Linked DNA regions of Oreochromis niloticus. The main gene of each other region encodes a partner of the protein of the gene in region 2 in a complex. Links are inferred from orthologs where the notes say so. Each region holds a gene or a part of one and is shown on either strand. Other genes may lie near its edges. The genes, in order: gtf2a1, ercc2, mnat1 and ciao1.

Evidence for each region.
Region 1: ercc2 (region 2) and gtf2a1 share a complex: the UniProt entries of both Homo sapiens proteins name them as parts of the TBP-based Pol II pre-initiation complex. The link is inferred for Oreochromis niloticus from reciprocal best matches to the Homo sapiens genes ERCC2 and GTF2A1.
Region 3: the proteins of ercc2 (region 2) and mnat1 are in contact, whole or in part, in a crystal structure (PDB 6TUN), measured with the Homo sapiens proteins. The link is inferred for Oreochromis niloticus from reciprocal best matches to the Homo sapiens genes ERCC2 and MNAT1. Residues at the interface, in NP_000391.1 of Homo sapiens: Lys274, Tyr285, Ala318, Val319, Pro320, Gly321, Ser322, Arg324, Thr325, Glu327, His328, Arg334, Arg335, Glu338, Gln363, Arg364, Val365, Cys366, Gln368, Lys370; in NP_002422.1 of Homo sapiens: Val68, Glu71, Val72, Arg75, Lys76, Leu79, Arg85, Glu86, Leu92, Tyr95, Asn96, Asp97, Leu99, Glu100, Glu103, Glu104, Phe107.
Region 4: ercc2 (region 2) and ciao1 share a complex: the UniProt entries of both Homo sapiens proteins name them as parts of the MMXD complex. The link is inferred for Oreochromis niloticus from reciprocal best matches to the Homo sapiens genes ERCC2 and CIAO1.

Annotation. Positions count from the first base shown.
Region 1 is NC_031980.2:2,233,689-2,241,517, reverse strand, and holds the start of gtf2a1 (transcription initiation factor IIA subunit 1), read right to left. Parts: upstream 3,293-7,829; 5' UTR 3,079-3,292; coding exon 3,049-3,078; intron 1,373-3,048; coding exon 1,271-1,372; intron 255-1,270; coding exon 77-254; intron 1-76. UniProt on the Homo sapiens protein: TFIIA is a component of the transcription machinery of RNA polymerase II and plays an important role in transcriptional activation. TFIIA in a complex with TBP mediates transcriptional activity.
Region 2 is NC_031979.2:34,778,784-34,787,103, forward strand, and holds the start of ercc2 (general transcription and DNA repair factor IIH helicase subunit XPD), read right to left. Parts: upstream 3,145-8,320; 5' UTR 2,968-3,144; coding exon 2,963-2,967; intron 2,714-2,962; coding exon 2,614-2,713; intron 1,632-2,613; coding exon 1,554-1,631; intron 1,473-1,553; coding exon 1,410-1,472; intron 1,282-1,409; coding exon 1,168-1,281; intron 1,076-1,167; coding exon 959-1,075; intron 149-958; coding exon 32-148; intron 1-31. Other genes in the region: zgc:154093 (cdc42 effector protein 3), read right to left, coding at 6,007-6,915. UniProt on the Homo sapiens protein: ATP-dependent 5'-3' DNA helicase. Component of the general transcription and DNA repair factor IIH (TFIIH) core complex, not absolutely essential for minimal transcription in vitro.
Region 3 is NC_031983.2:11,876,935-11,884,586, forward strand, and holds the start of mnat1 (CDK-activating kinase assembly factor MAT1), read left to right. Parts: upstream 1-4,026; 5' UTR 4,027-4,168; coding exon 4,169-4,257; intron 4,258-7,652. Other genes in the region: homeobox protein SIX4a, read right to left, coding at 1-244, 1,896-2,629.
Region 4 is NC_031977.2:12,290,914-12,299,007, forward strand, and holds the start of ciao1 (putative cytosolic iron-sulfur protein assembly protein ciao1), read right to left. Parts: upstream 3,605-8,094; 5' UTR 3,324-3,604; coding exon 3,185-3,323; intron 3,073-3,184; coding exon 2,924-3,072; intron 2,832-2,923; coding exon 2,720-2,831; intron 2,632-2,719; coding exon 2,543-2,631; intron 2,453-2,542; coding exon 2,251-2,452; intron 2,149-2,250; coding exon 2,082-2,148; intron 852-2,081; coding exon 617-851; 3' UTR 1-616. Other genes in the region: tmem127 (transmembrane protein 127), read left to right, coding at 4,503-4,737, 4,836-5,000, 5,094-5,404; gatd3l (ES1 protein, mitochondrial), read left to right, coding at 7,846-7,962, 8,048-8,094. UniProt on the Homo sapiens protein: Key component of the cytosolic iron-sulfur protein assembly (CIA) complex, a multiprotein complex that mediates the incorporation of iron-sulfur cluster into extramitochondrial Fe/S proteins.

The DNA.
Region 1 (7,829 bases), on a different chromosome or scaffold from region 2:
GACATTTTTAGTGCCCAAAAAGGCATTCACGGGTTTTTGCACTTGTTTTTACCACTGTGTGCCACTGCTGGCTAACCTTGCTGTTGCTGGGGCGGCAGGATGACTTGCTGGGTCTGAGCTGGCTGGGCCACCTGCTGGACTTGTTGGACCTGCTGAACTTGTTGTTGCTGCTGCTGTGCGGCCTGCAGGGCTGTCTGCTCCTCAGTATGGAAGCCCTCCACTGCCTTGGACTGCAACAGCTTGTTCTCCCATAGCTGTAGAAACAAACAGAGGCAGCACAAAGACATGTGTTAGAAAGCTGCCAAAGACTCCATTTAAATCCATGCTAACATGTTTTCAAATGAAAATCTCCATCCAGGTAAATGTTTAACGCAAATTCTGTCATTATCGACACACCTGTAAACGCATCACACTGTCCAGACATGCCGATAGTTCAAATTAATTCTGCTTTATTTATATAGTCACAACAACAGTCACCTTCAAGGTGCTTCATATTGTAAGGTACAATAATACAGAGAAAACCTAACAATTAAACGAGTCACTGTGAGCAAGTGTTTGGCAACAGTGGGAAGGAAAATCTCCCTTTTAACAGGAAGAAAGCTTCAACAGAACCAGGCTCAGGGAGGGAACCAGGTAAAAGAGAGCCAGAGACCAATATTAACTAATGGGTCACAAACTCAAAGTGAAAAGAGGTCAAAGAAACCATGAAGCGAAGATTGAATTTTTGCTTATTTGTGTCAATCTCATTGCCTAGGTAGGCTTATGTGCCATAGCCTCCTCTTGAATTGAGCATATCATGCAGTGTACACACTGGTTGTGTTGTCATTTCAGTGGTATTCAGACACCACCTTCTCTGCAAATCACAGGCATACGTCTGTGTTATAACAGCCCTACTGAAAGTAACACTCGAATATAAGGTGGTGATTGCACCAGAAAACTCATACTGAAGTCGCTGCAAAGCAAATTCTGCAACACATCAGTGGCACTGAGAGCACCATCCATCAAAGGAAACCATGGTAACCGGGGGACAAAACATGGATGCCATTTTTGTGACTTAATCAGAAAGTTTCCAGAAGTTTGTTTTCTGTCCATCCAGACAACAACTACAGCAGCTTCCAAACTAGGAAGTGGTCAGCAGTCATTCAAAAGCGCTCCGGTTTGGGGGAGCGTGCTACAGTACACTTTACTACAAAGAGCGCACACCTCTGCAGTAGGCAGCATTTCCCCTGCAGTTGCTATATACAGGTGCAACATTGGTAAGGACGGTTACCGTTTTCAGCTCCAGAAGAACTTGCTCATCTACTCCCTCATCCAGGAACAGCTCTCGCACCTCACTGATCACATCGTCAATCACATTCTTGTATAATTTAGGCTGGGAGGAAGAAAAAAAAGAAGAGGAAATAAACTTTTACAGTATGCTGTTTATATTATAGACACTTTTGCCTTTTCCAGTAAAACATGAACAACATGTCTGGTACAGTCAGTATTGATCATTATGAGCTTGGGTTTTATGTCAAAATTAGCCCTCAACAGTGTATTTAGCAAGCACACCTCCTCTTTGGGCTTCCAGCTGCCAAAACGACAGCAAAACATTAGGTATACAGCTGATGGTGTTATAATTATCATATTTATTTACGCCTTGCCACACTGGCTTTAATTGGTATAACACGGTAATAGCTGTTGCACGCGGTCAGCTAAACTCTAAAACTGCCCCCACTTGAGAATCATGTGTGGGGGTTCGGGCTGCAGCGTGTGCACGGCACTACGTGGCTTGTTATGCTAACCCATATAAACTAGCTCTTTATGTTACTACTACTAAGGTAAACATCATGTCCCCGGGGTCTGAACTGCGCGCGCGGCGGAAAAAGCAAACGCATAACGTTCAGAGCTCCGCCAGGGCCCTACGGTCCCGTCTCAGCGGAGTGATATGAGGCTGAAACAAAGCGACACACACGCGGGCCACCGCACTGCGCTGCCCCGATGTCCGCAGCGCAGACCTCGGTCTCTCCTTCCCTCCCCCTCGGCCTGTCTGCTCCTCACTATTTAAAGCTCAGTCTGCTGTTTATATGTAGAGCCGGTGACGTAGCGTCGAGTAGCACCTTCCCATCCCGGGCAGTCTATATTAGAGAGCCAATATGGCTGTATAAAAACCAGGCAGCGGAAAGGAGGAGGGCCAGAACCGAGAGAGAGAAGGGAGACGAGGAAGCCATTTTACGGAGCCGCAGAGTGCGCGCTCGACAGCCTTTTTCTTTTAAACAGTGTGTGGCGGAATGTGAAGGACATTTTCGGTGTCTTATCTTATCAGTGCTCAGCTTTGGCTAAATATTTTTTGGCTCTGCTGGCAGGTAGCAAGGACAAATTTGATATGGTATGGGTTAAAGAAGTGGTTTGGGACGGCTACCCTGCCTTCTGGTCGTGGAATGGTGGACAATGATGAGGCAGTTGACGACTTTCTACTGAGGTTTTAATATATATAAACTATATATATTAAACGCTCAATTCTCTCGCCGTGGATGATGACAATGTGCTTTGCGTACATCTGTATTTCATAAGCTATCCAATAATAAAAACTTAAATTGACAATTTCTTCCTTCTACGAACAAACAAGCATTTTAAACTAAACTGGCAGCTCAAGCGTCCACCAAAAATGAATTTAGCCATACACGCTATTAGACATTACTGTGATCACGTAAACCTTCCAACTAATGAAAGCTTCAACCTGCCGAAAAACCACCAAACTAGAATTACATGTTCATCGCTAAACCTCAGTTTCTACACGTGTTCTTATTTTTACTCAAACACTGCCTCTCTAAAGTAAGCCATTCCTCCTCCGAGATGGTTTCAAATGAAAGAACTACCTAGTTTCGAAAACTGATTATAATGGCCGATTGACTGAAACTTAAGTATTCCCTTTAATAGATATAACAGTGAAGTGTTTGTTAAAGCAGACTCATTTTACTGTAATACATAACACCAGCTCGTCGACAGCTTTCCAATAACTTTACCCCCATTTTCCCCCGCTGACAATCCTTAGAGATTGATCCTTACCACTGGGTTCGAGTTAGCCGAGCTCGCCATTATACGCGTAGTGTAAAAACCACACGGAAATAGGCGAGGAATAGAGCCAAAAATTACGAAAAACGATTTAAAACAACTGGGAAAGATATTTTAAAACAGCCGGCATCACTTTTGTAAATAAAACACAGTTTAGGCGGTCTTATTTACAATCCCGGGCTGCGACTCCCCAGCCGTCCTCCTTCCGTCGTTGTCCTGCTTTATATACTGAGCGAAGAAGCTGCGAGTGCGCGAGACATAGGGCAGGGTCAGGTCGCACATAGCGCGAGATTTCGTGCGGAGTATGACGACCAATCAATAGAGCCGCTCATGGGAAATGTAGTTTAATAATGCTTTTTTTCTTTCTTTTTTTTTTTAGAAAACGGAACTGAATCCTCTGATCGCATTAGCTTAATTCTCTGTGATCTTGTTTATTGAGTCAGGGAAACTGTAAATATTAGAAACCATATGATGAATTAAAAATAGAGAAATTAATGAGATAAAAGTTGCTGATTACTTAAAATGCTAATAAAAGCTTATTAGCATATAGGTGAATCATTTTAAATGAACTTATTTCATTTTTTCTTTCTTTTTTTGCCTATACATACAATAGGCATTCTATTGTTTTTCCTGTTTTCCATCATATACTAGAACTGTATGCTGCAGTGGTGGATGCTCATATTAAATATGGGCAAACTTTCAAATAATGCCTTCAGCATATGTACAAATCATGAGCTAAAAGCTCAGGCCTTGAGGTGGCTTTAGACAGGTTTTCTCAGGGGTTTCTGAGGGGCTGTCAATCAGAACCTAAAGCAGCTCATCTTAGAAAGTGAATAAACCAAAGACCACTATAGGATAAATACAGATTATTTTTAATCTACGACTCATGTAAAGCTGCACTAAATGGTAAATGGCCTGTATTACTAGTCCCTAAGGACCCCAAAGCGCTTTACACATCCAGTCATCCACCCATTCACACAGTGGTGATGGCAAGCTACATTGTAACCACAGCCACCCTGGGGCGCACTGACAGAGGCGAGGCTGCTGGACCACCACCAGTAGGCAATGGGTGAAGTGTCTTGCCCAAGGACACAACGACCGAGACTGTCCAAGCCGGGGCAACCTTCCGATTACAAAGCGAGCTCCCAACTCTTGAGCCACTGGTAAAGGTCAACAATAATAATAAATATCAGGAAATAGTATGTCTCTTTTAACGTTAACTGTTTTATTCAACATGTCTGGAGAAATACTTTTGTCTAATGGCCAAGGTTGGTTGTTGCAGATTAAATGTAATATTTTAAAAAATATACATATAGAATAGAATAGAATGCCTTTATTGTCACTATACGGTTGTCAGTGCCAACATGTTTATAGATTTAACCATTATTAATAAGGAAAACATGATATTCTTATCACATATAATACATAAAGGCTATTTAAGAAATAGTGCTAATAATTTTTTAATGTATTCACTTGTAACAACACCAACAGTTTAATTGACTTTTGCACTTAATAGTTGGACCTTGTGTTAGCTCAACACTACTTTTACCTAAGCAGAGGGTCCGAATGCTTCTTTCACTGCTGGTGCACACTTTAATACTTTAATACAACACAGGTGCCACTTAAACAAGTCTGACCTTTACCAGCTCCGTAACTGCATCTGTAATGCTTCTCTGTGGGGCCAGTGTGCTTTATGTAGTAACATTGTGCCACCACAAGAGGGCGATCACACCACGCACCAGGAAAACAGGCTCTCTATTTCACATTTCAACACTCACACACAAACACACTCACACACACTCACACAATCCACTTTGTAAAGCACGCAACTGTTTTCCACGTTATTCAATAAAAGCAGATTTAAGTGAATTTTTGGATGAGCAACATCCACTGGTCTTGTTTGCTTGCTCTGAAACAGACTTGCCCTGACTACCAAGGGGGAAATTTACCCCCCACAAAAAAACAATAAAGCTTTGCAACAAATGAGAGCTGACAAGAGAACGTTACCTCCACTTCTGTCTCCATGGAAACTTGCCTCGCTGGTCATTCTGAGGATATGGATGATATAGACCGGGGAGCACACAGCTCTCCGCGTGCATCAATCCACTCAGCGGTTCAGTGTGGCTCTTCTGAAATGGCATATTACACCACCTGAATTCATTTCATTTAGTTCACTGAGATGAAATTAAAGGCCTGTCCGCCCCTGACAAGGATGTGCTGTTGGATTCACTTTAAACCTTTTCCAGTGGAGAACAGTTGGGGAGGGAAAAAGAGGAAAGAAGTGACATGATAGGAAAAAGACTTTGTTTAATCTGTGCTTCTAAATGTGAGATTTGATCAGACGTGAAGCCAGGTTATCCGTGAAATGTCGTCGCTACCTTTGAGTCTCACTCTCTGTAACTGAGTAGTAAGATGCCCTCTAAAGATCCAGAGAATGCACACTTTTCTTTTCTCACCCCCCTCTTCTTCTTTGCTGTAGTTGCATAGCAACAGAGGAGCTGCTAGCTCCAGTTGTGTTGTGGTGGGAGCGTGCTGCACAGGGAGGCACTGGCTCAAGATTAAGCCGGTCTCTGCTTCAATTATGAATGGGCTTCCACTGCCACACGGCTCCAAAATGGCACCACTCAGATTGATAAGACACGGAGGCACTCTTTGGTACACTTAACTCTTTTACTTCTTTCCCTTAGGGAGGGGGAGCAGGACTTTAATCAGAAGTATTGAACTTAAATGATTAGAGGAAGCAAATGAATAATTAACTGGCGGGAAAGGCTTGGTTATGATAAGACCCTTGTTGATGGGAATATGTGAGGTTAATGATTGGGGTCAGTCTTGAGAGCAAATTAGAGTCTCTAGTATCACAAAGCTAGCACTTTACTAGTAAGTGGGGGTTTGTGTGTGGTGCTGAGGAGGTGGATGACAAAGGCTGACATCCTTTACTACATTTCACTTGAAGCGCTGAGATGAAAACAGCTAATTGTTTAGTACTCTGATCAGCTTCCAGTAAATATGTTCTTAACAAAACTCAGTCAGAATGGTTGATTTACAGCAGTTTATGTGTGGTGGAGGTGGGTTGCAAATTGGCTTGCAGTGTGCAAAAGTCTTGAGACACTTAATTTCTATATTATTTTATTTTGCTTCCAAGGAGGCAGATTTTTTTTTGAATTTTTAAGAGAAATTCAAGGTGGGCTCAAAGTGGGATTTCAAAGTTTTCCTTTGCTTTTTCAGTCATTTCCAGTCCAGTCCTTGTACCTGACCATTTTCAGAGGAGCTGTTTAACACTGACCTATGCATTACTCAAGCATAACAAAAGGCACCCAACTGAAGAAATTAACCAGTGTTGTGCCTAAAACAGACACCTTAGCAAGGAACCTATTTTTAGTAGTATGTTTAGGTACTTTGCTATTAGCAGCTTGTTGCAAAAACGTTTAATTAGTCAAAGTCTTACAAAAAATGCCCAAGATAGCACAGCTTGTGGTTCCCGAAGAGCTATTAGCTGGAATTCGCTGGAATTTTGGCCTCTTTGTACAGTGTATCCGTAGAAATGTGAGGAAACTGGACAAGTGGAGGACAAAAGGAGTGACAGGCCTAAGATGAACATTATCTGAAAGTCATGTCCTTAAGAAATCCAGCAAAGATCTGACACAGGACCTGAGAGACGCCTCTGTCCATGTTTAATAAAGTCTCATCAGAAATGATCTCAGTGGAGGGTTGGCTGTCAAGAAGGTCCGACGGTGAGTGTCTGCAGCCATTTGTAAAACACGGTGGAGGCTCAGTCCTGGTTTGGGCTGCATTTCAGGCAGAAGAGTTGGGAACCTTGTCAGAGCTGATGGGATTATGAACACAGTACTATCAGATGTTGATCCACCATGTGATGCCATGTGGAAGGCGGACACACTGCCAGTGCAGTAAACTGAATGTTTGTTTCACCCCCCTATCATATGTCACTACTCTCTTTATTCATTGCACTAACATTATGTCACTTGTCATAATTACTTTTACTGATAGTTATTTTATTTTATCTGCACTCTTTTTCCCGCTTGTTGCGTTGAGCATGTTTATGACAAAAGAATTTCCCTCAGGGTACATAAAGTTCTTCTTATCTTATCTTAAAAGGTCAAACCCAATTAAAAAAATTGAGATACTGTATAAAATGTAAATACATTTTATGTAAATGCAAATCTAATAAACCCATATTTTATTACAATAGAACACATAATATCACGTATCAAAAACTGAGAAAATTTGTCGTTTTAAGAAAAAAAGGTCATTTTGAATTAATGACATAATATGTCTAAAAAGTTGGGACAGAGCCATGTTTATCCCCTCTTCTTTAACAACAGTCTGTAAACATCTGGGAACTGAGACCAGCTGCTGGACTTGGAGAGGAATGTTGTCCCATTCCTTTCTGATACAGGATTCTAGCTTCTCAACAGTCCTGGGTCTTCTTTGTTGCATTTTTCGTTTCTTGATAGGGCAGAAGTTTTCACCTCTGTTGACAGGCCAGCTCAGCACCTGGACTCTTCTACTACAAAGAAATAGTGCTCTCCAGAGAACACGAGTCCAGTGGCAGCCTGCTTTCCATCACTGCATCTGACGCTTTGCATTTGCTTGGTGATGTAATCTTTGGCTGGAGCTGCTCAGCCATGGAAACCCGTCCATGAAGCTCTCTGCACACTGTTCTTGAGCTATTCTGAAGGACACGTGAAGTTTGGAGGTCTGTAGTGACCGACTCTGTAGAAAGTTGGTGCACCATACACCTCAGCATCTCCTGACTC
Region 2 (8,320 bases):
TTTCACAGTAAAGGTTTCCCCAGTAACTCACTGAATAGCGAGCCAGATAGTAAGGACACCAGCCCTTCCTCCTGCCAAAGGCCTTGAGGTCATCAAGGTTGTAGATGCCAGCAGGAAGAGGCACCTGTCGGCCGACTGAATCGAACTCCTGCAACACAAAACAGGTTTTCCTGTTTTCCAGTTTTCAGGCATTGTAAACCTACAGTTTGTATCTGTGTTAAGATCAATGAGCTAAAAAGTCTCAAACTGAGACCTATAACACTTCCTGAGTTCATGTAGGCGACAGCCAGAAACCAAACACTTTTTTAATCTGCATATCTGATGGTGTCGAGTAGTTGCTGGATTTAAGTTTTCAGGCTGATTAAATGCTCCTAACTAATCACGTCGAGCCAGTAAGTTGTAATCATCCAGCACAGAAATGAACAGATTACTAAAGAATAGAAACCTGAACTTGTTTTTAAACTTTTAATCCATAAAGATCACAGAACTTACTCGTCTTTAAGCTTTATTAAGCATTCAAATGTATCTAAGTTTGCATGTAGCACAAAAAGGATCGTGCTTAAAGACAGCAGGAGTCAACCACATGCAACGCAATGCAGGAATAGTTACTAAGTTATACCTTCATATATGCATTTTAGTTATAGTGGTAAAAAACATTTTAGGGGGTTTAAATCTTATAAAATTCATGCATCTATTTTTGGATGCAAATCCAAGAGAAACACTCACAGTGTCACCACCACCACCATCTTCCTGCCTCTTTACCTCAGCAACCTCTTACACTTCATTTAAATCATGAGAGCTGATTTAGCCAGTTAGCATCCTAACTCAGTAGCATCACCGCCCCAAAAGCGCCTGACCCCACCGGTTATGTTGAACCCTGATGCTGTCGTGTCAACAGCCATTACAAAAAAATATCTTCTGCTTCTGTTGAAAAACACCATCTGATGTGAGTTCTTGCCTCGTAGAAGCGACAGACGGGCAGGTTGGGGTTGCTGTGATGTTGTGCGCGGATGTATGATGCTGTCAGACTGTGGCACTTCCCATCGACTTCCTTACCGAAGCGCAGAGAGCTCACCTGTGAGAAGACAAGCGTGTCGGTCACTTTTGAAAGGAGAAAGCTGAATCCTAAATCGCTCCTTTAGCTTCGTGGGATGCGGGTGTTCATACCTCAGGGTGGATGCAGAGGTTCTTCCTGGAGGAAAGAGCGAGAGCCAGGAAGTTGTTGCTCTCTCCTGTTTCTTTAGTGTAAAACTCCATCAGCTTCCTCAGCTCCTCCACAACCTTATCGGAAAGAATCAAACACACCATGTGAGACGTCGGGGCTTTGAACGCTTCTTCTTGTTTAATTCAAAAAGAAAGTTACACAGTAGAAACACGCTTCACTGACGACTGATTTGACGTCCACTCACCTTCTCGATCTCCGGAACTGTTCTAGAGCAGTAAATTAACTTGGTGACCTCCAGAGGGAAAGCCTGAGAGAGAGAGAACATATTTACATGCTGATCTACCACCAGCTGTTAGTATAAACCACTTATGAGAGAGGCTGAACTCACCCTTTGGTAGGCCACAATGAGGGACAGTAGAGAGATGGTCTTCCCTGTTCCTGACGGCATCTCCAAGACTCCATGACCCTGAACAGGAACAGGTTCGGTTAACACAGAAAGCAGCAGCTGAAAGTAAACACTCACTTTTAAACGTGAGCGAAATCTGAGATGGACACACTGTACTTCCCTGAAGGAGCAACACAATACGACACAGTGACACAAAAGGTAAAATCTGGACTAAATACTGTAACTTTAGGAATCATCTCTTCAACTCCAAGGAAGGAAAGAAGGAAAAAAGTAACTCAAATTTTAAAATACATACATGACTAGACTGATCACATCAAGAAAAAAATAGAACTTTTCTTTAACTGGAAACAGCAAAGAGCAGAAAATTTGATTATCTTAAATAACTGAAATAACAACTGGATAAAAAAGATGACTCGTCTTCCACCTTCTTCAGACCAAAATGAATCTATTGCTATGCTTGCATCCTCCTCTGTCCCCGACAGCAGCTGTACAGGCTTCATATATCAACCCCTTCGCATGTCCTCCTTCACCACATCCATTTTCTCTGAGTCCTTCCTCTTCTCTCCTGCCTGGCAGCTCCATCTTCAACACCCTCTGATCAATATATCCACTATCCCTCCTCTGCACACGTCCAAACCATCCCAGCCTCTCTAACTTTGTCTACAAACCATCTCAACCCTCTGATGTATTCAACTCTAATCTAACCATCCTCGTCAATCACAATGAAAATCTTAACATCCTCAGTTCAGCCTCCTGTCTTTTTTCAGTGCCACCGTCTTCAAACCAAACATTATACCAAATCTCACTACCATCTTGTAAACCTTGCCTTTCACTCTTTCTGATATCATTCTGTCACAAAGGACTCGTGACACTCATCTCCATCCAATCCACCTCTCTTCTCCACTGTTCATTCACACGTGTCATCCAACCTCTGGACTGATCGACAGTCCAGCTTACACCCAGGGTATTTTGTGTAGATAGGAGCACAGATGAACCTGTGCATGAAAACCACGCCTTCAGATTAACCTCTGACACCACCCACCTTGGCATCCAGCGTCCTCTTCAGCTCCAGCATGTAGGAGTACTGCTCGGGGTAGATGTAGTCATAGGGAAAATACACCAGCAGACCCTCAATGTTGAGCCTGCAAGGAAACAGCAATGATGCTAACAGTGCACAGCAGCTGTACAGACTTCATACTGGACTATCTTTAAGCCAAGTATGTGCGAATGAGTGCGAGACAGCTAAAATAAAAATTAAAACAGTGATTTGGATAAACTAGAGCCACAAAACTCTGATTTTATGTGGACTTGGCTCAGGTATGTCACAGTTGCTGGAAACGAGCTAACACTGAAAGCCCATGTTGTCTGTTTGTACTCAGTAAAACACTCACTTCATCTTCACAGCACGTTTAGCGGCAGCTCCTCTTCTTTTTACGTAACTTATGTTATTTTAAAACAGTCATTAAAATTTGAATGTGCGCAAAAAACACAAAACAAAACGCCGCATTAGCAACGCCACAGCCTGCTGCAGCATTTAATTCTTCTTCGTTTGTCGTTTAAACGCTATCAGACGGATTACGGCCCCCTACAGGCCAAAAGAAAAACTAAATAGTCCACTGTAATGCTTCGAAGTTACATTTAAAAACCCTTTATTTAATTAGTTTATAGTTAATGTCTCCTTATATTTATTTTATTTATGTATTTATATTTAAATTTGACGACGATTACTTCAACTGGAAGTGTTAGCCTGCTGCTATCGGCGCTAACTTTGACCACATTCGAGTCATATAACAATTTAATTTCCGGTGAATAGTTTGTAATATAAACGCTAAAATAACCCATCAGTTAGAATCGCACGAGCTTCAGTGTTTAATGGTATACTGTGTATTATCAAACAGCCGTTACATCTTACTGTGTAGAGGTAAATGTGACTTTTCGGTCGTTTTACTTTTTACGTTTTAATTATAATTCACAGCTGTGCTTTCTCGATGCTTTCGTTTATTATTTGGGCTTCAGCGTGTACAGCAAAGGCATGCATGTGTTGGGTAATTTCATTATATTTTTTTGTATTACTTGGAATACCCTACCCGAATAACTTTATTTTCACAGGCTTTTCCGGAAGTAGTTCTAAGTCAGCTGCATTAATGAGATTTTAGTCATTTTAAAGAGTTGCCATTCCAAAGAGTGACCACACGGGGGCAGCACATAGCAATAAAATCGCCCTTGTGCACACTATAACGTCTGATGTATCCTTTCAAAATACTCCGATTAGGAAGAATTTTTCATCCGCAACCAAAACAAAGTAATCTGAATTCTCAGAATATATTAATAAATAATTATAAATAGACCGACAACAAAATTAAACTTTTTTTTGCTGTCCAGATTCTTTAATTTCACACATATTAACATTTATTTATACAGATTTATACTTTTACTGCACCTGCACTGAATTGAAAACTAGTTTTTAATGGTTTGAAATTTAATCTGAAAACTATTAAAAAAGACTTTTTTTCCCTTTTTTTTTTTACTGTAATTACGTCACTGTGGTTCAGAGGTTTGGAAATCTTTATTCATCTCATCGCTGCATGTGAAAAACACCCATAAAGTATGCCTACTAGTGTTAATGTCTATAAAGCGTCTGTCTGCGAAGAAGAAACCGCAAAGTTTTTGCAGTAGGAAACATTTTATTCGTACATTTACAGATTAATCATACACCATAGATGACATTTGAATAATAGGCTACTGTGATCATGCAGACAGTGAATGTCAGGGAGGCAGAGAGTGAGCCACAGCATGTATAAAGACAGATATCTCAAAACTGATCAACAAAGCAGCACTTTTTCTTATTCTTACCCTTAAAGCTTTTAAACAACACCAACATTAAGCATACCCAGCTTCTCTCTGATGATAAAAAACTAAAAAACAAGGTTAAACCTGCCAGTGAAATGTTGATTAAATGGGATACAATCATATTAGAGGATGACAGTAAAGTCAGCAGCAGCGGAGTTGATGTAAAAGAGTGAAGATGTCAACATTTCAGCCCCAAATCACACCTTAGGAAGCCAAAATGAAGAATTTAACCTGCAGCATTAAACTAGTAGTATTAGCAGTTTGTAGCTTAGTCTATGTACGTAACATGAACTCTGCTGCAGAAATACACATTTATCCTGAAAGAATTAATAGCTGTGCAGCTGGAGATTCCTCCTGTTTTCCCAGGCCGATCTGGAGACAAGTATATTTGACTCTGCAGAGAAGTGAGCAGGAAATCCTCAGTGAGAGTCAGATTAACAGGCGATACAGATTAAAGGGAGCAGTGGTGATGTTACTGCAACTGTGCTGGTTAACTTGGAGCAGGGTTGCCAACTTTCAGCTGTCAGTTGGGGTGAGATGAGGGTGGCGATGTTTATGTGGGATAATTAAACACAAAAAATGATGCAGGTCACAGGTGAAGGACAGCCTGTATTTCCTCTCATAACTTGTTTGTGCAAGCGATTCGGTAGTTTTGGCACACTTCTCTATCCCACACTGGGATGTACTTGTGGATCAGCACAGCTGTTTCACTTTTTTATACTAGGTCCATTAAAAATTTGGGAGGCTGTCGCAGAATGTGGGACAGTTTTTAAAGATGATAATCTTTTTTTTGTCATTTTTGGATCACTCCTCGCTTTAAATAACCTAGAGAGAGGTGCTGCGACATATTTTAGGTAATTTTCAGGATAAATCTGCCAAATTTGTTTTGCTAGTAAAATTCTAAACACCTCTTGGCTTATTTTATTGGTTAAATTAATGATTAGAGGTGTCATCCTCCTATACAGCCTGCTGTTATGGTAAACATCCATAAACACTGTAAGTTGAAAAGTTTTGTTGCAGGGTTAGTTAATAGTTCTAAATAACTAATAAAGTTAGCTCTGTTGGACTGTTTTGGTAAATATGTGCAGCTGTTTCGCTGTGGGGACACTCACATGTATCCTTGTGAAGTTGCAGGTATTTAATACACTCACAGGAAAGACTTCCCCCATCAGCTGAAAGCAACAGGATGTTTATGGACCTGTTTTGTTCTAAAATGGGCAGAAAACACCTGCCCAAAACATACATGCAAATGGGTGTATTTTTTTTAAATAAAGGAGGGTCTGCAGGTTTCTTTGGACACCGTGAGAATGACGGTGTGCACGTAACCGTTGGCAACCCCATGTTATAGTTTAAAATCTATGTGCATGAGGTTCAGCTTTGAAGGCTCGAGCAGCAACGTCCTGCATTTCAAGCTTCTTGAAGTCTTTTATCACCTTCAGACTCGGCTCCCAGGAGTAGGCGGAAATATAAGTTCCCCTCCCTCCTCCGTCAGTCCCTCCATCTTTTGTCTCCATCAGTCTGTTCAGAGTTTTAAAGGATATATTAAACCATGTATAAAAATATCTTTTTGTCTCATTAATCTCAATCACAGCTCGCAGTGGTTGTCCTCAGCTTTGTAGCGGTCCATGATGCTCAACACATCCTCCAGGATGGATGGGCCCAGATCCAGGTTCAACCCCGCAATGGAGTCGGAGCGCGACACACCGGAGGGCTTTGTGAGGCCGGCGGGGTGGAAGACGGTGCAGGGTGACTCGCTGCGTTCGCTTCGAAGATCCTCGTTGCTCAGGTAGGTGTCGGAGTCCAGGCTGAGGCCCCGGCGAACGTCCTGCGGCCCGCAGATCTCTGACATGGAGTCCTCAGAGGAGCCCTCAGAGAGGGAGCCGGAGGAGGGGACGAGTCTGCGGATAGCTGGGGAGAGGGAGATGTCACGGCAGGGCTCGGACGCCAAGCGACCCACCACGCCATTCTCACAGAGCGACACGGTCGGGTGCTGCTGGCGCTGACCGTCTGTCTGGCTGCAGCCATTGTTCTGTTTGGGGGTCGCCGCAGGAGGGTGCTGATGGTGGTGGGAGGGACCATCCAGATGGAGGCGTGGCGGTTTGGGTGGAGCCTGTTCGTGAGCGATGAACACAGGCATGGAGATGGTGTTCTTCAGCAGGCCGCTGGACGAGTGCTGGTAATGGTAGCCGTTAAAAGCGTAGCTGTGCACGTCCTCTTTCGCGGTGAGGCCGTCTCCCAGGTCTCTCTCCACACTGTGCGAGCGGGCGTGGCCGTTCTGCGTCCGGCTCGTGGGTGGCAGCATGTCCATCTTACCCTGGAGGAAGCCGACGTCTCCAAACATGTCGCCCTCGCCTTCAGGCCCCACGTGGGCACTGTGACGCACGTCGCCCAGCGGGGGGCTGATCATGTCACCTGAGAGGACGTCCCGGAGCTTCAGCTTCTTTCCCTTCTTGGGAGTCGTTGTCTTTAGGTACATTGGCGTCTTTGCAGGCATCTTGATGTGGATGTTGGGTTCCTCGGGCCGTTTGAGCTCCAGCAGGAGAAATTCAGCGGAAAGCAAACAGCACTGAGTTGATAAGAAGCTCTCTTGGCTGTTTTTCCCACTCTCAGCTCAGATATCCAGTCTGTTCTGCTTCTCCAAGCGAGTAAACAAGTATTTGGGTCGGTCAGAGTAGCGATAGCAACCTGGCGGTTGAGCCTCACACTGACATGTGACTCAGGAAGGGAGAGGAGAAAGGCCTTGACCTCAGATCAGCTCCCTCTGTCTTCCCCTCCTACGCAGAAAATCCATATCAAAGCAAACGCCGAGCCCTCGTCTCCTCAAACTCTCGTCTTTATCCCGGCTCAGGCAAACAGCATGCAGGGGATCAAGACTGGGATCTCTGGCTGCCTCGCCGTCTGCTGCCCGGTCAGTCCTCCAAGTTCCTCAGAAACTTCAGGAATGTGACATCAAAACACTGGAGATCTGTGAGGAGAAATCAGAGCGAAAAGGGAGTCAAAAAGAGGCCGAAAGAGATCGAGGGGAAGAGGAAAAGCAGATAGATGGGACAGAGGGAGGAATGAAGCCAGGGGGGAGATTTACAAGCACTTTTTTCAGAGAGCCAGAGGACACTTGAAGGAAAACACTCCAAGAATCCACAGTGTTTGCTCAGAGGGCCCTGCCTGCCCCACACTGTGTGAAAATGTGTGACTGGAGGTCCTCGGGCTGCTCTTACAGAGTCACGCATTAGTCTCGCATTCCCAAAGACCCTTCAGCTTCGTCAGTGGAAACACAAATTACCACACCGAAACTGTCGGTTTTAAAACACCTCGTGCCTAATCACAGCATCTCATCAGGAAATAAAGTGTCTTTCCCGAGAAAGACACAGGGAACACCCGAAGCCTCGAGATCAGAACTCCAGTTATTTAACTGGTTAAACATGTAGAAGTGCAGGTTTTTCAGGACCACAGTTAATACAGTTTATCCACAGCTCTTCAGTTTCCACTCATTTACTTTAGTCATAGCAGATTAAAGCTACTAACACTGAGAGTCGCCTCACCAATGGTTAGAAAACAATAAAAGGGGTGAAAAAACAGGCAAATATCCGATACTGACAAAGTGTCTGAAGTGTGAATTTGTTCTGTGCTCAGTAACGCCATGACCTTATGCCTCTGTGCTAAATTGCTTGGGTATGGAAAAAAACGGCTAGTGTGAATGGCTGAAAGAGGCCAGTAGTAAAAAGCAGTTTGTGTGCTCAGTAAGAGCAGAAAAGAGTAGTTAAGTACCAGTCCTAAGTTTTTACATCTACAGTGCTTAAAAAATGTATTAGAGCACCTGTCATAAAGACAAGTACACAAATAATTTAGACATCTGTCAGAAAAAAAATGACTGAATTTACGTTTAGATACCCAAATCTGAG
Region 3 (7,652 bases), on a different chromosome or scaffold from region 2:
TACAGTAGAGGGCGTGTTACTGGTCACTAGACTTCCATTGTAGAGACCGCCACTGCTGGATCCAGGAGGCATTTTGATGTCCCCAATTTGTTGGATGACCACCCCACTGTCCAGAGGTCCCGTTTGAATAGGAAGGTTCCCGTGGGTTATCACCCCATCTGAAGAATTGGAGAGAGGACGAGGAGACAGCTCCTCCTGGCCTTTACTGGACTCATCCTCTGTGCTGTGGTTTCCATCTGATTCGCTGTAGAAAAACAAAAGAGGAGGGAGAAAGATGACAAATGGTGTGTAACAAAACAGAGGAAAATAAAAAGGGAAAATTTGTGTACCATTTGTATACATTTCTGGGAAGGAAGCACACGATAAACACGGACACAATTAGACCATAAACTCGTATAATGGAATTCATTTCATTTCCACCCACATTTTGCTTTTAAGCCAGACTCACATTTATTGCTGGGTTATTACAAAGCTTTGAAGGCAGGCTGTGTCTGTGGATGTGTAGCCCTCATGGAGAGCTGCATGGACAACCACCAGGCAGTGTCAACAACCGTGCAACCATTTGGCGCAATAAATTCTGGAGTGACAAAATGCTAGCTCTGACAGGACAAATGGCTTCAAGTATTTATTTACTTGTTTTGCCTCTGATTTGGGACGTTCTAATGAAAATTCTTATTTTTAATTTTCCAAGAATAACAAAGTGAAAGAATAGGAGCAACTATATTAGCAGCCTCATTTTGTTTACTAGCCCCCTTTTAAAAGACTGATTAAAACAGCTGCACCACTTCACACCCCCACTCCCCCTAAGGGACACACACACACACGCATCTAAACCCACCACTTCCAGGAAAATATAAAAGGCTGTTACACGTTAAAAAAAAAAAAAAAAAAAAAAAAAAAAAAAAAAAAAAAAAACAGAAAAAAAAGAAAAAGAAATCCAAGGTTTATAAAGATTTAAAAACTTTCAAATTATTATTTTTCACTGGCGATTTTAAGACAGCCTACGATCGCGTGTATGTGCCTGTGTGTGTGCGCGCGTGCGTGCGCGTGTGTGGTTAGAGACACAGAGGGGTCACCTCCACCAGGTGTGCGTCATCTTTGTTCACACAGAGGGAAACATGAAAGAATAGCGTGCACATGTCAGTCTGTTTGTCTGCGGGATTATGAAATGAAGCGCAGGAGTTGATGGAAGCTCTGAGATCCTTTCTTGATCCAAAAGGAAGAAGGGGAGGGGGGGAAAAAAGAAGTCATGATCATGAAAATGATTTATGTGCCGCTGGGTACAAGCGCACCCCCAAGTGTGTTCGTGCGCGCGCTGAAACAAACACACACACACACACACACACACACACACACACACACACACACACCACGAATAGATAAGAAGATATTAACCTTTCAAGTCATCTTTTGAACCGTCTCATTAAAGTTGCCCACTCCCCGCGTCTGATAGTTTAATCGCTGAAGTGTGTATTTTGTTGCTTATGGTTTCCATGCCTCTTAGCACCAACGCACTTGAAACTTGATCTGAATGGCAACAGCTTCATATTTCAAAACATTAAAAGCGTGCTCCTAACCCCTTTACAAATACATTTTTGTGTTTCTGAACTATGAATAGTTAATGATTTAAATTGTTCGTTTTTATTTGTGAGGCCGGCAAGACGATTATGAAATACACTCGGTATTGTCAGTAATCGAACTTAGTCCAACTGGATAATATAGGCGCTTTTCCATTAAAAACAACAACAACTTTTAAATACTTGGTAAAGTTAATCGGCGTTCATTTTAATTAAAGGGCCTTTTACGCACATAACCTTCAGAAGTAATTTTATTGCCGTTTGATGAGCGATCTGTGACGGGAAAAGGTCTGTGGTGTGCTCCTTTTGTTGCCTCACCTTTTTGATTGTGCTTCCGACGGGTTTCTGTCTCTCTGTCTCCTGTTTTTGAACCAGTTGCTGACCTGGGTCAAGGAGAGTCCGGTTATCTTGGCGAGATTTCTTTTCTCGGCTGGAGACGGGTACCTATTTTGATTATACAGATCCTTCAGTGCGTTCCGCGACCTCTCCTTGAAACAATAAACAGTCTCCTCGCCGTCCCAGATAGTCCTGGGGAGAGGATACTTTCTCCGAATTCGGTACTTGTCCACTGCGCCCAGGGGTCTCCCCCGCGCCTTCTCCGCCTCGGTGTACCGCGCTTTGTACCACAGATCTTGCAGAAAGGTGTGGTTGGACGGACTAAAACTGTGGTTCTCCAAAATACTGTAGAGCTCCTGATACCGAGCCTGATGGAAAGCTACGAGGGCTTGGGCTTTCAGGATGCTTTCGTTGCCCCGTAGCAGGTCACTCTGTGGCAGGGACCACAGGAACCTGGCCAGCCGGTCCACATTGCCTCCCTGCTGCAGTGCCTCGCAGACACACGCCACTTGCTCCGGGGAGAAAGCCAGAGAGGAAGCGGCACTCACCAACAGCTCAGTGCGCACCGCGTCAGTGCTAGGAGTCGTGCGCTCCATGGGCAACTCCGCCGCGTCCAGCGCCACAAGCTTGATGCACTCCCGCGTATCCACCTCCTTCACATTTTCCCTCTTGATGTCATTTGCTGTTGTGACTTCTCCGGCAGAAGAAGAAGACATTTTTTTTTTTTTGGTTCAAGCCTTCCCTGGTAAAGTCACTCCTCCCCGCTCGATCAGGTTACCTCCTCGCCATGCGAATGCGATCGGATATCTGACAGCAGCTGTAAGTAGATATCTCTCTCCCCTTTTCCTTCCAACGTGACTTTTACTCTGCGGGGACTGGAGCTGGAGGGAGACACGCTGGGGTCTATCTACAGGAGCGCCTCGCTATTGGCCGTCGAGGGCCCGTAAGGGAGGAGCAAGCATGGATTCAGACGCGAATGTTTGGTTTCCAGCTGTCAGTCATATAACTTCCAGTAGATTACCGTAGCTCACCTGTGCAAGGTGAGTGCTTTTGTGATCGTGGGAACGGGATATCTTTGTTGTCTGTATTGTCAGGAGATCCTTTGTCTGTAGGCATGCACATAAAAGACTGTTTTATTTCCATCTCGATGTATGGAAATCCAAACGGAAGTAATGCTGGGAATACTGTCACTCACTTTATTTAGGCAGTTTAAACTTATTTTGACAAGTTTTAAAGTAATAAATGTTAACTAAAAATAGATATCAGATTTGCCCACACTTTAAATATGTTTTTATTGTTATTTCAGGTATGAAAGTGATAGTTTCAGCACAGATCCTGCTTTAAGTGGCTGTTGCGAGGTTGCACCCCCTCCCACCGAAGACTGGATCAGAACATTATAAGCGACCAAAGTAATGTCAGAAAAAAACAGCCCACCCCTATGAAAATGTAGCCCACCCCTTCAAAGATATCATATGTGGACTATACCTCAAATTTCTCCCAAGAGTAGCTCATTCCCAAATCAGGTGATCTGTCTAGCATCAGGTAACAAGTGTCCAACACCACATCATTACTGATATTTGAACTTTAAATTATGTTTTCATTTAATCTTTTATAGTAAAAGAGTCTCAGATCGTCTTAACAATTACTAGCATCCACATATAGTCAATAAACCAGTATAGCTCAAGCACTGGGCGGAAAGAAAACTAAAATATTAAAATATCAAAGTAATTCCCCCAAAGTTCACGTTCATGATTTCATAACACTAATTTAATGTAACTTATGAGTTGTTTTTTCCAAATTCACAATCATCCAGAAACGATATGATGTCAGAAACCCTGGGAAACAATGTCTGGGTTGATTTTTGTTTTTAATTGTGTTTCTGCTGAGACTTACAAGATCATATGCAAGTTTTTTATATATATATATTTACTCCACTACTACCATTACTACTACTACTACTACTATTACTACTAGCTAAAGTTATTTATTTACTTAATTTATTGTACCTCGCTTCCACTGGGACTCCCTAGCAGCCCCTGTATGTGTGTGCCAGCAGCAATTTGCACCTCTCCTCTAAAAGCGATCATTAAATAGGAACCCATCTTATTAATGTCGTTTCCCGTCGGACCTCATTTTGTGTAACGCAGCGGTTCGCAGCTTGGAAACTGACAGGAGAGCTGCAAGTTGTTGACGTGTTTTGTTTCTGAAGTGCTTTATTATTATTGCCATTATTTTTTGGTGTGGTGCAGACAGAAATGGACGAACAGGGCTGTCCGAGATGTAAAACAACCAAATACAGAAACCCGTCGCTGAAGCTGATGGTGAACGTCTGCGGCCACACGCTGTGAGTATTCACACCTGACAGCTACAAGGAAAGAGGTGCAACAATCCTCCACAACATCGCGGCGTTTCTGCTCCAGGCTGCTCAAAAAGACACGCAAACACAAAAGCACCCCCCAAAAGCAGCTGTAATATAGCGTTTAAAACTGTTTCCGCACATACATCTCAAGTCTTAATGGGGGGGACTTGGACGTAAACAAAACTGATAAGCCTCGAATGCTGACGGTTTGTTGGGCTAGCTCATATTTATAGTCTGGCTGTTAAATAGCTGTGTCAGTGTAGACAGTAAGTGTGCTTTAGAGGTGGGTTATGTTTCCTGATAGAGCTACACAATTGCAAAGCTAGGCTAATGCTGCTGGTAAACATAGTATAGCGGCCATTGTTTACATATGACCTACACTGGCTGTAAGCAGCTCAGCTTAGAGACCTCTGTAGAAAAGCAGACCCTGCAGTTGTGTCTTTTTTTGTGTGCGTGGAAAGTACAGCAAGTTTAGGATGGCAGGGGGAAAAGTGACTAATGATGAGGAGCATAAACACCCTGTGCTGTTTTTAACCACATAATGAATATGAATTATTCAGAGGTTTTTGAAAAGGGCCAGCTGAAAGGTGCAAATCAAATTCGAGTTTGACTGCGCAAGTTTTTCCATGTTAATCTGCCAACCTAACTAAAAGCTACATTTTTATTTAAATGGCTGCATCTCTGTCACAGGTCTGGCTTGATTTGATCAACCACAGCTTGGAATTTGTCATTTTTGCATTAAACAGAAAATATAATGCAAAACCAAAACCTAAAATAATTTATTTTATTATTATAAGAGGTAATGATGAGATGGTTTGGAGGGGGGATATGTTGGTTAAAGGATATTGAAGATGGAGCTACCTTGCAGGAGGAAAAGAGAGAGGCCACAGTGATGGAGGAAATGCAGAGGGTTGGTTTGACAGAAGAGGATGAAAGGGAGAGAATAGGGTGAGATGGAGGTAGATGATTCACTGTGGCTACCCCTAAAGGGATCATATGAAAGAAGTAGAAGATTATGATTATTATTTGCATAACATACAGAAATGGATGAAAAGTTAGCATGTTTCCATTTGTTTTTATTCTGTTACTGCTGAGCAGTGTCATCATGTCGATACTTCGCCGTGCATTTTTCAGCATTTAACCTTGTCCGCCCTTTAAAAACATGGACGTTTAAATAAAGGGGACATGTTCTCCATGAGCATTATGCAGCGACAGTGGTAGCTTGATGAGCACATCTTTTTCGACCCTGTCTGTTTATTGACCGTGCCATCAGGAAGTGGTCGTGCTTTGTCATCAGGTCAGCGGGCTCATAACTCACTGCCTCTGTCTGGATGCAGGACTACACACAGAAAATTAAAATGATTCTGCAATGAAGCAATTTGGAGAGATGTCCTAGCCCGGGTCACCTTGGATCTGTTCCTCAGAGCCGGTGCGACGGTGAATTTATGCATCACTTGGAAACTGCTGTACTCCCTAATCATATTAGTATTTTCATCACTGATGCTTTTTGGCTTTTCTTTTCTGTTTTTCCCCTTTTTTGCAGCGAGTCTTACAGAAATGCTACAAGATCTGTAACTCTGATCAGTTTCAGAGTTATCCATTTTCTCATTTTTAATCAACAACGCTCTTCAGAAAAACTATATAAGAAAAAGAGAATCCAAGAGGTTAATGCACATGGTTAGTTTTTAGATGGTTATATAGTTTTTGACTCTGTGCGCCACCATATAGATTTTAAATTTTCAAAAATCAAGATATTGTTGAAGTTCAGACTTTCATCTTTAATTCAAGGGGCTAAACAAAAGCAAACAAACAAAAGCCTTTGGATAAATGAAACTAAGATGAATGAATATATACCAGAATTATTTAAAGAGAAAAGTATGGAGAAAGAGCGAAACAGCTCCTGATCTAAAGCATATCACATCATCTGTCAAACATGGCGGAGGCAGTCTTATGGGATGAACAAATATGTCTGCCAGTGGAACCTGGTCACTAGTGTTTGACAACGTGACTGCCGATAGAAGCAACACGATGAATAATGAAGCATACAGAGCTATACTCTCTGCTCTCATTCAGCCAAATGCTGTAATACTGATCAACGAGCTCTTCAAAGTACAAATGGATAATGACCCAAAGCTTATTGCAAAGCCAACCCAAGAGTTTCTCAAGCCAAAGAAACTGGATATGCTTCAATGGCCAAGTCAGTCACCTGATCTCAAACCAGTAGAGCATGCTTTTCAGTTACTGAAGACAAAACTGAAGGTAGAGACCCACGATTGTCGACCTGTCCTGGGTGTACCCTGCCTTTCACCCTATGGTAGCTGGGATAGGCTGCAGCCGCCCCGCAGCCTTGATAAGGATAAGCAGAAGAGAACAGTTTGATTCCCAGCATCTCCAGTCTGCATGTCCTTGGTATGAGAGAGTGTATGTGATAGGTAAAATGGTTTAAAGATGTAGAATGAAGTGCTGTTTGTATGTGTGTGTGGTAGCATAAAGCACTTTAAATGTTCATGAAGTATAGGAAGGGTTTATATGAACACCGACCTGTTTACCAGGAGAAAGTAGCACTAGTGAGAGCACAAAGCAGTTCAGTTATTCAGAGCGATAACGCTAATACAACACAACCAATTCTTCGCAAAACAAGTCATTTGAAGATATCGCCCAGGCCTCTGTGAAACCTTTTTGTTCAGTGACTGTCCATTAAAGGATTAATTGACTTATTGAGATACATATACTAGATGAATCATAAACAGCTGAGAATAGTTGGACTCCATTTAGATAAATGTAAGACTGTCTCTTCTTTGAGTGGCCCGTCCAGTCTGCGCTGACTAGCCTTCAGCGGTTGCATTATTAAGCTTCTCCATGCATCTAAATTTAAACTCCACTGCAGCACATTTTGTATCCTTGTCACAGGGGCATTTGATGTGGGTTATTTATTACCTTTGCACAATGACACTGGGTCCGTGTCCTTTGGCATTTGACACTGGGCACAGGCAGGCAAAAACAGTTGTAGCTGAGGTACACAGTGGTGTTTAGAAGGTGGACACAGTGATGCTAACATTACAATTATAATTGTATGCTGCAGGATAATCTCCAGCAGCAATGCAAGAAGTCATTTTGGGGATCATTTAGACTTTTTAAAAAGGCATCCAGTGTGAGGTTTAGACATGTTCTTGGCTTTTCTTTAAAGTACTATAAATGCGCGGTTGGGGCAAGCTTTTAGTTTAAGCAGTCATAGTGTTGGTCTTTGGCATTTTCTGATTGTGATGCTGCAGGTTTTGCAGATTGTTTAGATTTCACACAATGCCATTATACAAATCCATCTCTACTTGGTCTTGAATCAACCCTTGGTCTAAGATGGAAACAAAAATATAGAGATCACT
Region 4 (8,094 bases), on a different chromosome or scaffold from region 2:
AATCATTTTTGTTTTCAGTTGTTTCTCAGTGAAGTCCCTTAAATGATGCCAGTCCAAGAATATAGTGTACAGGATCTGTTTGCCCACATGTAGTACAGACACATGGCTAACCAAGCCCCAGTCTGAGTTTTCAGTATAAGAGGTTTAACACTTTGTACTTTTGTGTCAGTTTTGAGATCTGACAAAAATTTAATTGGCCATTGTGGATTAAAGAAACACTTAAAAAGGAGATGTGCTTTATAAATCCTGGGGATAGTGCATCCTTAAACCAGGTAGGGTGCATAAAAACAACCGGCAACTATCCGGTTATATTTTGCATTCACATCATTTTATTATGAAATGTAATCCTTGGACTGGTTGAAGTGTTTTACTGTCTGAAATGTTTTTGCAATAAAAAGGAGAAGAAACATTTTTCACTTTATTTCATAGTTAAACATGTTATTTCTATTAATTCTCAGTGGCGCTGCTACTCAAAGCACATGAAGCAGTATTCTCAGCATGGACACAGATGAGCGCTGATGTCAAGCAGAATCCTGATGAGCTATAAAATAATGATCTGTGGTGAATGCCGCAGAAAGTTCCCAGTTTAACTCGTAACTATGCACTCCAGTGATGTTCATTCCTCTTCTTGGAACCTCCAAATGGCGATTTCTCCGTTATCGCTGCACGAAGCCAGGAGTCCCGCCTCCTTTGGGTTCCAGGACACGCAGTTAACATCTTGGTTGTGAGCTCTGGCCACTTGAGCAGCCAGCGAGAATACTGGCTCGTCGGGATTGGCTGTCTCATCCTCCTTGAAAACTCGCACTGCGTCATCACCACAGGCAGTTGCCAAAGCGCCAGTCAGCTGACACCTGAAGAAAGATTTAGGTTCACTGTGACGTCTAACAATGACAAATTCATGCACGTGGAGACCACATCTTTGGGATTTCTGGTGGTCAGTTAACCTCCACTTTATGTTCTCACATAATTCTCTGCATAGAGCACCACATATTCCTCACAAATTTCCCACGTGTGGGACTAATAAAGGTTATCTTATCTACTGCATTGTTACAGAGAAATTACAAGTTGTGGAACGCTTAACCACTGCTATCGCTAGACGATCTTAGAGGTGCAGTGTGTAAAAACGACTAGATGTCAGTAAATCTAAGAACAAATTCAGCTGAATTCTTTTTTCTAATAATCCTAGTTACAGTTTTCACCTCAAAAACTGCCATTAATCTGTAGCTAGTGTAAGCTGCTGATATGTCAGGTGAGACGTGCAGGTCTATTTACTTTGGAGGAGGCTGCAAAACTTACAGGGGTCCAATACAGGTCACTGAAGCTCATTTTTTATCCTATTACGGTGATACTGAGGTGAGTTGTTGAGCGATCTGCTGGGGTCGGCATTTGTGAATCTTTTTTTTGCCAATAAACTTTGAGAATCTAATGAAACACTGTAACAGCGGGAAAGTGTCACTTTTAGGACCCTCGAGCCTAACATTAGCTGGTATTAGAGGATCGCATGTCTAATCTGCCGACAATAAGTAACTGCAACAATATCAGGAATAAATTAGCATTTTCATGCATGTTTTTGTGTGTTAGAGCCCTGAGGTGAGGAAGAGGATGACATTTTTATTCAGTTACGGGTCACGCTGTTTCTTTCCTTTATGTTTTCACTTCCTTGGTGAACCCTTCTCAGATGGTAAAACATATGAATAATCTTTCATATCTTTAGTCTGAAGGTGAAAACACAAATTGCCTCCACACCACATGAATCCCCCGTCCTTTAGCATACTATATATCTGGCAAGTCTCTTCCTACATACATAAAACATGATTAGGCTGAACTGCAATCCTCATCTCGGTTACTCCATTCAAGATGGCGAGGCAACGTGGTGGCTTCCACACTTATGTATTTTTAATGGATTAAATCTAAGTTTATGAGAATGCATAAGATGTAATTACACACTAATAGATGTATGTTTATGTGCACAATGGTCTTTTTTTCTATTAAATGACTTCAAACAATGACTAATTGCACCTTTAATGATTGACTGAAGCATTTTACAAGAATGGCAGAGTACATTACAAAAATAGTCTTACCAGGAAACATCATACACCGTTCGTCCATGGTACCCAGACAGAGTGCAAACACACTTCCATGACAGATCTTAAACAGAAAAGCAGAAAAAAAAAAATACATATTGTCAATATTTTTATTACAGCATTGATTTATGATAAAACTAATTAGTCCTAACCATTGCTGACTCACCCGGTCCACTTTCAGCTGGATACTCTCTCCAGATCTTCACAGTGCGGTCATCGCTGCAGGAGGCCAGCCTCTGACCAGCCGCATCAAAACACAAACTCCACACTGTGGACGTGTGTCCCTGTAAGGTGGCCCGGCACTCCCAGTCATCATCCTCTTCTTTGTAAAGACAAATGTTGTTGTCATAGCTGGCTGAGGCCAGGAGCTGTACAAACACATGGTGAGTGCAGGGTCACGTGGTGTTGCAACTGGAGATGAAAAAACAATCATGTGGACAGATCCAAATGAGACCTACCTCCTGGGTCGGGTGCCAGACAACGTGCTTGACGTCTTGCGTGTGAGAGTTCACAACTGTAACACATTCATACTCGTCTTCTTCATCCACTGCAGAGCAGAAAGAGACAAGGTCAAGTATATAAACAGACAGTGGCGCAGATCAGTTAGTGCAATTTAGGCGCTCTTTAATACAAACCTTCCCAAACCCAGACGCTCTTGTCTCGGCTACATGTGGCTAGAAGATTCCCTGAAGGGGCCCACGCCACACACTTGACCTCGTTTTCGTGTCCTTCCAGCACAGTCAAACTCTAGGAGACAAAGTGTGGGTAACAATCTGCAAAGATGCAGCATTTCTAAGGCATGCCATTTAACACAATGAACAGGAGACCTGTCATCTGACCTCAAAGTCATCGTTCTTTTTTTTCCAGATGCAAGTGGTAGCATCAAAGCTTGCAGAGGCCAGATAATTCCCACAGGGAGACCAAGCCACTTTCCTCACGGTGCGCTGGTGTCCATCCTGCAGCACGTTCTTACATATCCAGGAGTCACCTGAAAAACGAGAGCAAGGTAAAGGGGTGAAGGATGTCAACTACTGTACTATAATGCTTTGTTATGCGACTGAGGCTGGGGGTGTCTGCGGTTCAGTTCATGGAGAGCTCACCTTCTTTCCCCCATATCCGGATGGTCTTGTCGCCCCCACATGAGGCCAGCAGCGTCCCGTTGGGGCTCCAGCTGACGAACCAGCAGCGGGAGTCCGGGTGTGCGCTCAACCTCTGAACCAGGGACAGAGCCTCCTTCATGGTCGAGCTGGGAAAATACTTCCGAGTCGCTGTCACTGACAGTTAGCCGAGAAACGAGACAGGAAATGGCCCGAAGCACCAAAAGCAGACAGAGAGCAGCAGCAGCACTACAGCCCTAAACCACAGTCAACAACCAGGGCACGGATACAAAAATGGCCGTATCTGCGCTGAACACAGTCTGTAACTAGCACCAAACAACAAAGTGCAGAAGTTCACAACATCACCGGTGAGCAAAATGCCGCCATCTTTACTTATCTAGTCCCCGCGCTGCATTGTGGGTTGCAGTTTCGTGGTCTTTTTTTTTCCCCTCGGGAAATTTCACGTAAAAAACAATTCCGTGAAATTTACGGTGTTTTATTTTATGTCGTGTTTTATTGTATTTTATTGATCTAAGGTTTTATCTTGTTTGTTCTTAACTAACTTGTAAAGCACTTTGGTCAGTCTTGTTTCTTTTAATTGTGCTATAAATTTTTGGTCATCTCTTTTTATGATTTCCTATGAAGTATTCACGCGAGCACCTTTATTTTGTTAATGTACAATGAGTGAGTTTAATAAAATAAAGAAGAGAATTTTATGTTATTGTATGATGACTTTCTGCCATAGGAGGAGTCGCCAGTAGGTGGGAGTACTGACTTTTACAGCTATCGAGTCCGCGAAGAAGAAGAATGGTATGAACAAGGAAGTCAAGTGTTTTCGAGGAAGCCAGCGGACGCTTCCTTTTGTTTTGTCTTTGTTTTTTGTGTACCAAATCTATCGTTATTTTTATTAGTATTGTTAGCTAGATTACTTTATAGACGTATGACTGTCGTGTCGGTCGCTGTTATAGTTATTTTTTGTAAAAAAAAGAAAAACTTGACGACATTTTGCGTTTACGAGAAGTTAGCTTTTCAGGCTAACAACAGAGCTAGCAGGCCTGAACCATCTGTCCATTGTGTTGCCGTCAGTCAGACACCTGAATTGCTTTTGATTAAACAGCTAGTTTTATGGTCTGTTTTAATTTGGAAACATTTGAAACCAGAGTGAACAAAGGAGCCGGGTCGCTGTCATCAGTCCAGAATTAGCTTTACCGGCTGTCGGTTTTTTGGCTGACTTGCTCGTTACTACCGCAGTGCTGTCAGGTACACTGACAATAAAGGGAAAGCAACACTATACAACAGAGGACGAGGAAATCGGATTAGGATGTATGCCCCGCCGGGTTCTACTGTCCCTGGAGGCCGAAGGAGGAGAGGCACCTCGTTGCCCAAGCAGCCGGAGCGGAGCCTTGTGTCGGCTCTTCCCGGAGCTCTGTCCATCACAGCGCTGTGTACAGCTCTGGCTGAGCCGGCTTGGCTCCGCGTCCACGGAGGAACCTGTCCGAGACAAGAGCTGGGGGTGTCAGATGTCCTGGGATACATTGACCCCAAGCTTCTGGATGGTGAGGCCCACACACAAGCTCCGTTAAAAACCCACAGCAGCAATTAATCCCAGATCTCACGTGTAATGCTCTGTGATGTGTCCGTCTGTTCCCATCAGATTACTGCGTGAACCCGCAGACCATCTTGCTGCTGAGAGTAATCGCTGCCTTTTGTTTCCTGGGAATCCTCTGTAGTCTGACTGCTTTTCTCTTGGATGTGTTTGGTCCCAAGCACCCTGCCCTGAAAATAACCCGCAGATATGCATTTGCACATATTCTCACAGGTAATAATCTTTTTTCCCCTCTTGCTGTCTAGAAAAAGACAGACAATGTGTAAATTCAATGATCTGTAACTGTCTCTTTCTGTCTCCCACCAGTGCTGCAGTGTGCCACAGTCATAGGTTTTTGCTACTGGGCCTCAGAGCTGATCTTGTCCCTACAGCAGCAGCACAAAAAGTACCACGGCTCTCTCATATACGTCACTTTTGCTATCAGCTTCTACCTGGTGGCGGGCGCGGGTGGAGCATCCATCCTCGCCACAGCTGCAAATCTTCTTCGTCACTACCCAACTGAGGAGGAAGAGCAGGCTTTAGAGCTGCTCTCGGAGATGGAGGACAGCAGTGAAACATTTCCTGCCGATTATGACATTGCCAATCAATTTCAACCGCCACCCGCATACACACCCTAATGCCACCAGACTCGCCTTTGTAACACCTTTCTCTCTCAGCACAGCTACTTAGCTTGATGGGCAAAGCCCAGCTCTTTATCAAATGGATATCTTTGCAAAAATACTCAGTGAACACAGCGTGTCAGTGCGCAGGTTCCTTGAATGACGGTGCTTGGGTGCATGAAAGCTTTCTTTAGTGGTGACAGAAATTTAGAAGCTAATTCTTACTTTCACCACTGGAGTTGTTAGTGAATTGCATGTAAATGGCTTTTAGGGATTTGGTCCTTACATGTAAAGAAAACTAAACTTGCTGGAAGTGCTCAACACGGCTCATGACAATTAATTGATGGAACAACCAGAGCTGGATCGTTTTAGTAGGATTTAGTTGAATGAGCGCTATCGGCGGTTGTTTTGCTCTCGATCGGACGTGAGTGGAGCTTTGTTTGCTTTATGGTTTTAGTTTGACGTGCTTGCCATTTGTGTGAATTTTATTTTACCGACACCTTACAGATGCAGAAATACACTGACAAGATTCTTTAAACATCTTTATTTTATATAAGATATCAGATTGGACCTTATTTATTGTCTGTGCTGTCTTTTTGTAGTTTTTGCTTTGTTCATCTTTTCACTAGTTAAATCTTTGTTCACTTCTGTACTTGAAATAAGAAAACTGTCAGAAATTGTGAGCCAGGTCTTTGGTGTTTTAAAACGAATCATGGTGTGTGTGTGTGTCCGCGCGCGCATGTGTGAGAAAGTGTGTGTGTGTGTGTAGCAATCGAGAGAAAGTGAGAAACATGTTTGTATTATTTCACAGTAAGGGTGACATTTAGTTTAAAAAACACCTCACCGCATCAGAAGTTGTTCATTATATTTCTCGTGTTTGCTTTTGAAAAAAAAAAAATTACTTGCACTTTGTGATTCCCACATGTGACCGTTTCAGTATGCATTTCCAGTGCATGAGTTCATTTGTGTGAAGACTTTAAACTTTGAGTCACCATCTAAACGAGAACATCTCACACAGGCAGAGGCTTGGACTTGTGACTGATGTTGTGATTCTAGTTGATTGTGTATTGTTCTGTTGATTCCATAATTTTCTGCATTTGTCCCTCAAACTGTCACTATAACCCCCCTTCCCTCCTCAATTTGTAAATAATGATCATTTATACATTTAAAAAAGAAGTGATCATAATAAAGGAAACCTCATACTTTTGCCTCTCGCTCGTCATCTGTGAATTAACATTGATTTATTGTGATTTCAGCAAATGCAGCCCGAAGGATCTGCGTTGATCTAACAGTGTTGTGACTTTAACATTTACGTCTGCCTGGGGTATTTCTGGTCTCGTAGTCTAGAGACTGTAGACACAACATGGCATTAAAGAGAGTAAGAGTCTTAAGGTCTAATGGACTTTAGTGGGCGTATGGTACGCCTTTTACTGTGAAGAGTTCAGAAGTATGAAGCAGTTTAAATGCTCGATCCATCCGTTTTCTTATCCATTTGAGGGTCGCAGTGAGGCTGGAGCCTAGGAGAGAGAGAGACTGGGTACGTCCAAGACAGGTCGCAAGTCTGTTGTAGGGCTAGCACAGAGAGGCAGAAAGCCAATCACAGTCACATTCACACAAATGAGCAATTCTGAATCACCTCTCACCCTACCAAGAACAGAGAAACCCCATAGAAAAAGCCCCATCTGACTGGGGGACTTGAACCCAGGACCTTTTTGCTGCTAAAAAAAAAAAAAGAGTCTTACTGGCAAAGACTGCAAGGCTTTTCCCGGATGCATAATGTGGTCAATATACAGACTTTAAATAATGAGCTAGCGTAGAATAACATATATCATGAGGCTAAATTACAGACTGTCAAGTTCTGCCACACTTCATAAATCAGATTACCTTAGATTACTTTGAACTAGCTAAACGCACAAGATTTAAACAATCCCTGTAATTGAATTGGGACAAAGGAGTAACTATAGAAAGCGGGGAAAAAAGGCTCACTCAGGCATCACATCGATTGTTGCCTTATATAAAAGACACTGTGACTGTTTTGCAAAAGTATATGTTAGCTGTTCTTCAAGTTCGCTTGTCTGCATCTGTTGCCAAGAGTTAAACTATTAAAAGGTCAAGATACTGTTTGGGTTGAAGCACTACATGTTTACATTGCTCTTCAAAGCTGAAGTGTCACTCTGTGGCCAAATGACTTAATCAGATAAATAAACAAGGTATTAATAGGAAAGAGTGTTCATGAGGAGGAGAGTAAGTCAGTCAAGGCGAACAAGAGACGGCTCTTCTCAGAAGACAGAGCTTACGTGGTAACGTCACTTAGCCCCACTCTGCAGGTATATATACGGACAACCTCGTTGACATCAACACCACGACCATTAAAAGTCTCTACGTGGCTCTGTGGTAAAACTGTGAAGTCTTTTATTTTTTAAAATTTTCTTCTACAACAGTGAGATTGAAGCTAAATCATGCTGGCAACCAGGGCTTTGCTGTCAAAACAAACGCTGGCTGTTCTTTCTCGCCAGCCTGCCTGCTTTGTGCACCAGGGTGACTACGGCAACTGGGGAAATACTAACGTTGCAGTGGTAAGTGATGCAGATCAGTCTGGGAGAAAGGAGCAGATCAACGGGTGTGGGTGTAGTTGTGATTTGGTGACTCCATGTGTTTCAGGTTTTCTCAGGATGCGGATGGTGGGACGGCACTGATGTCCATGAAGG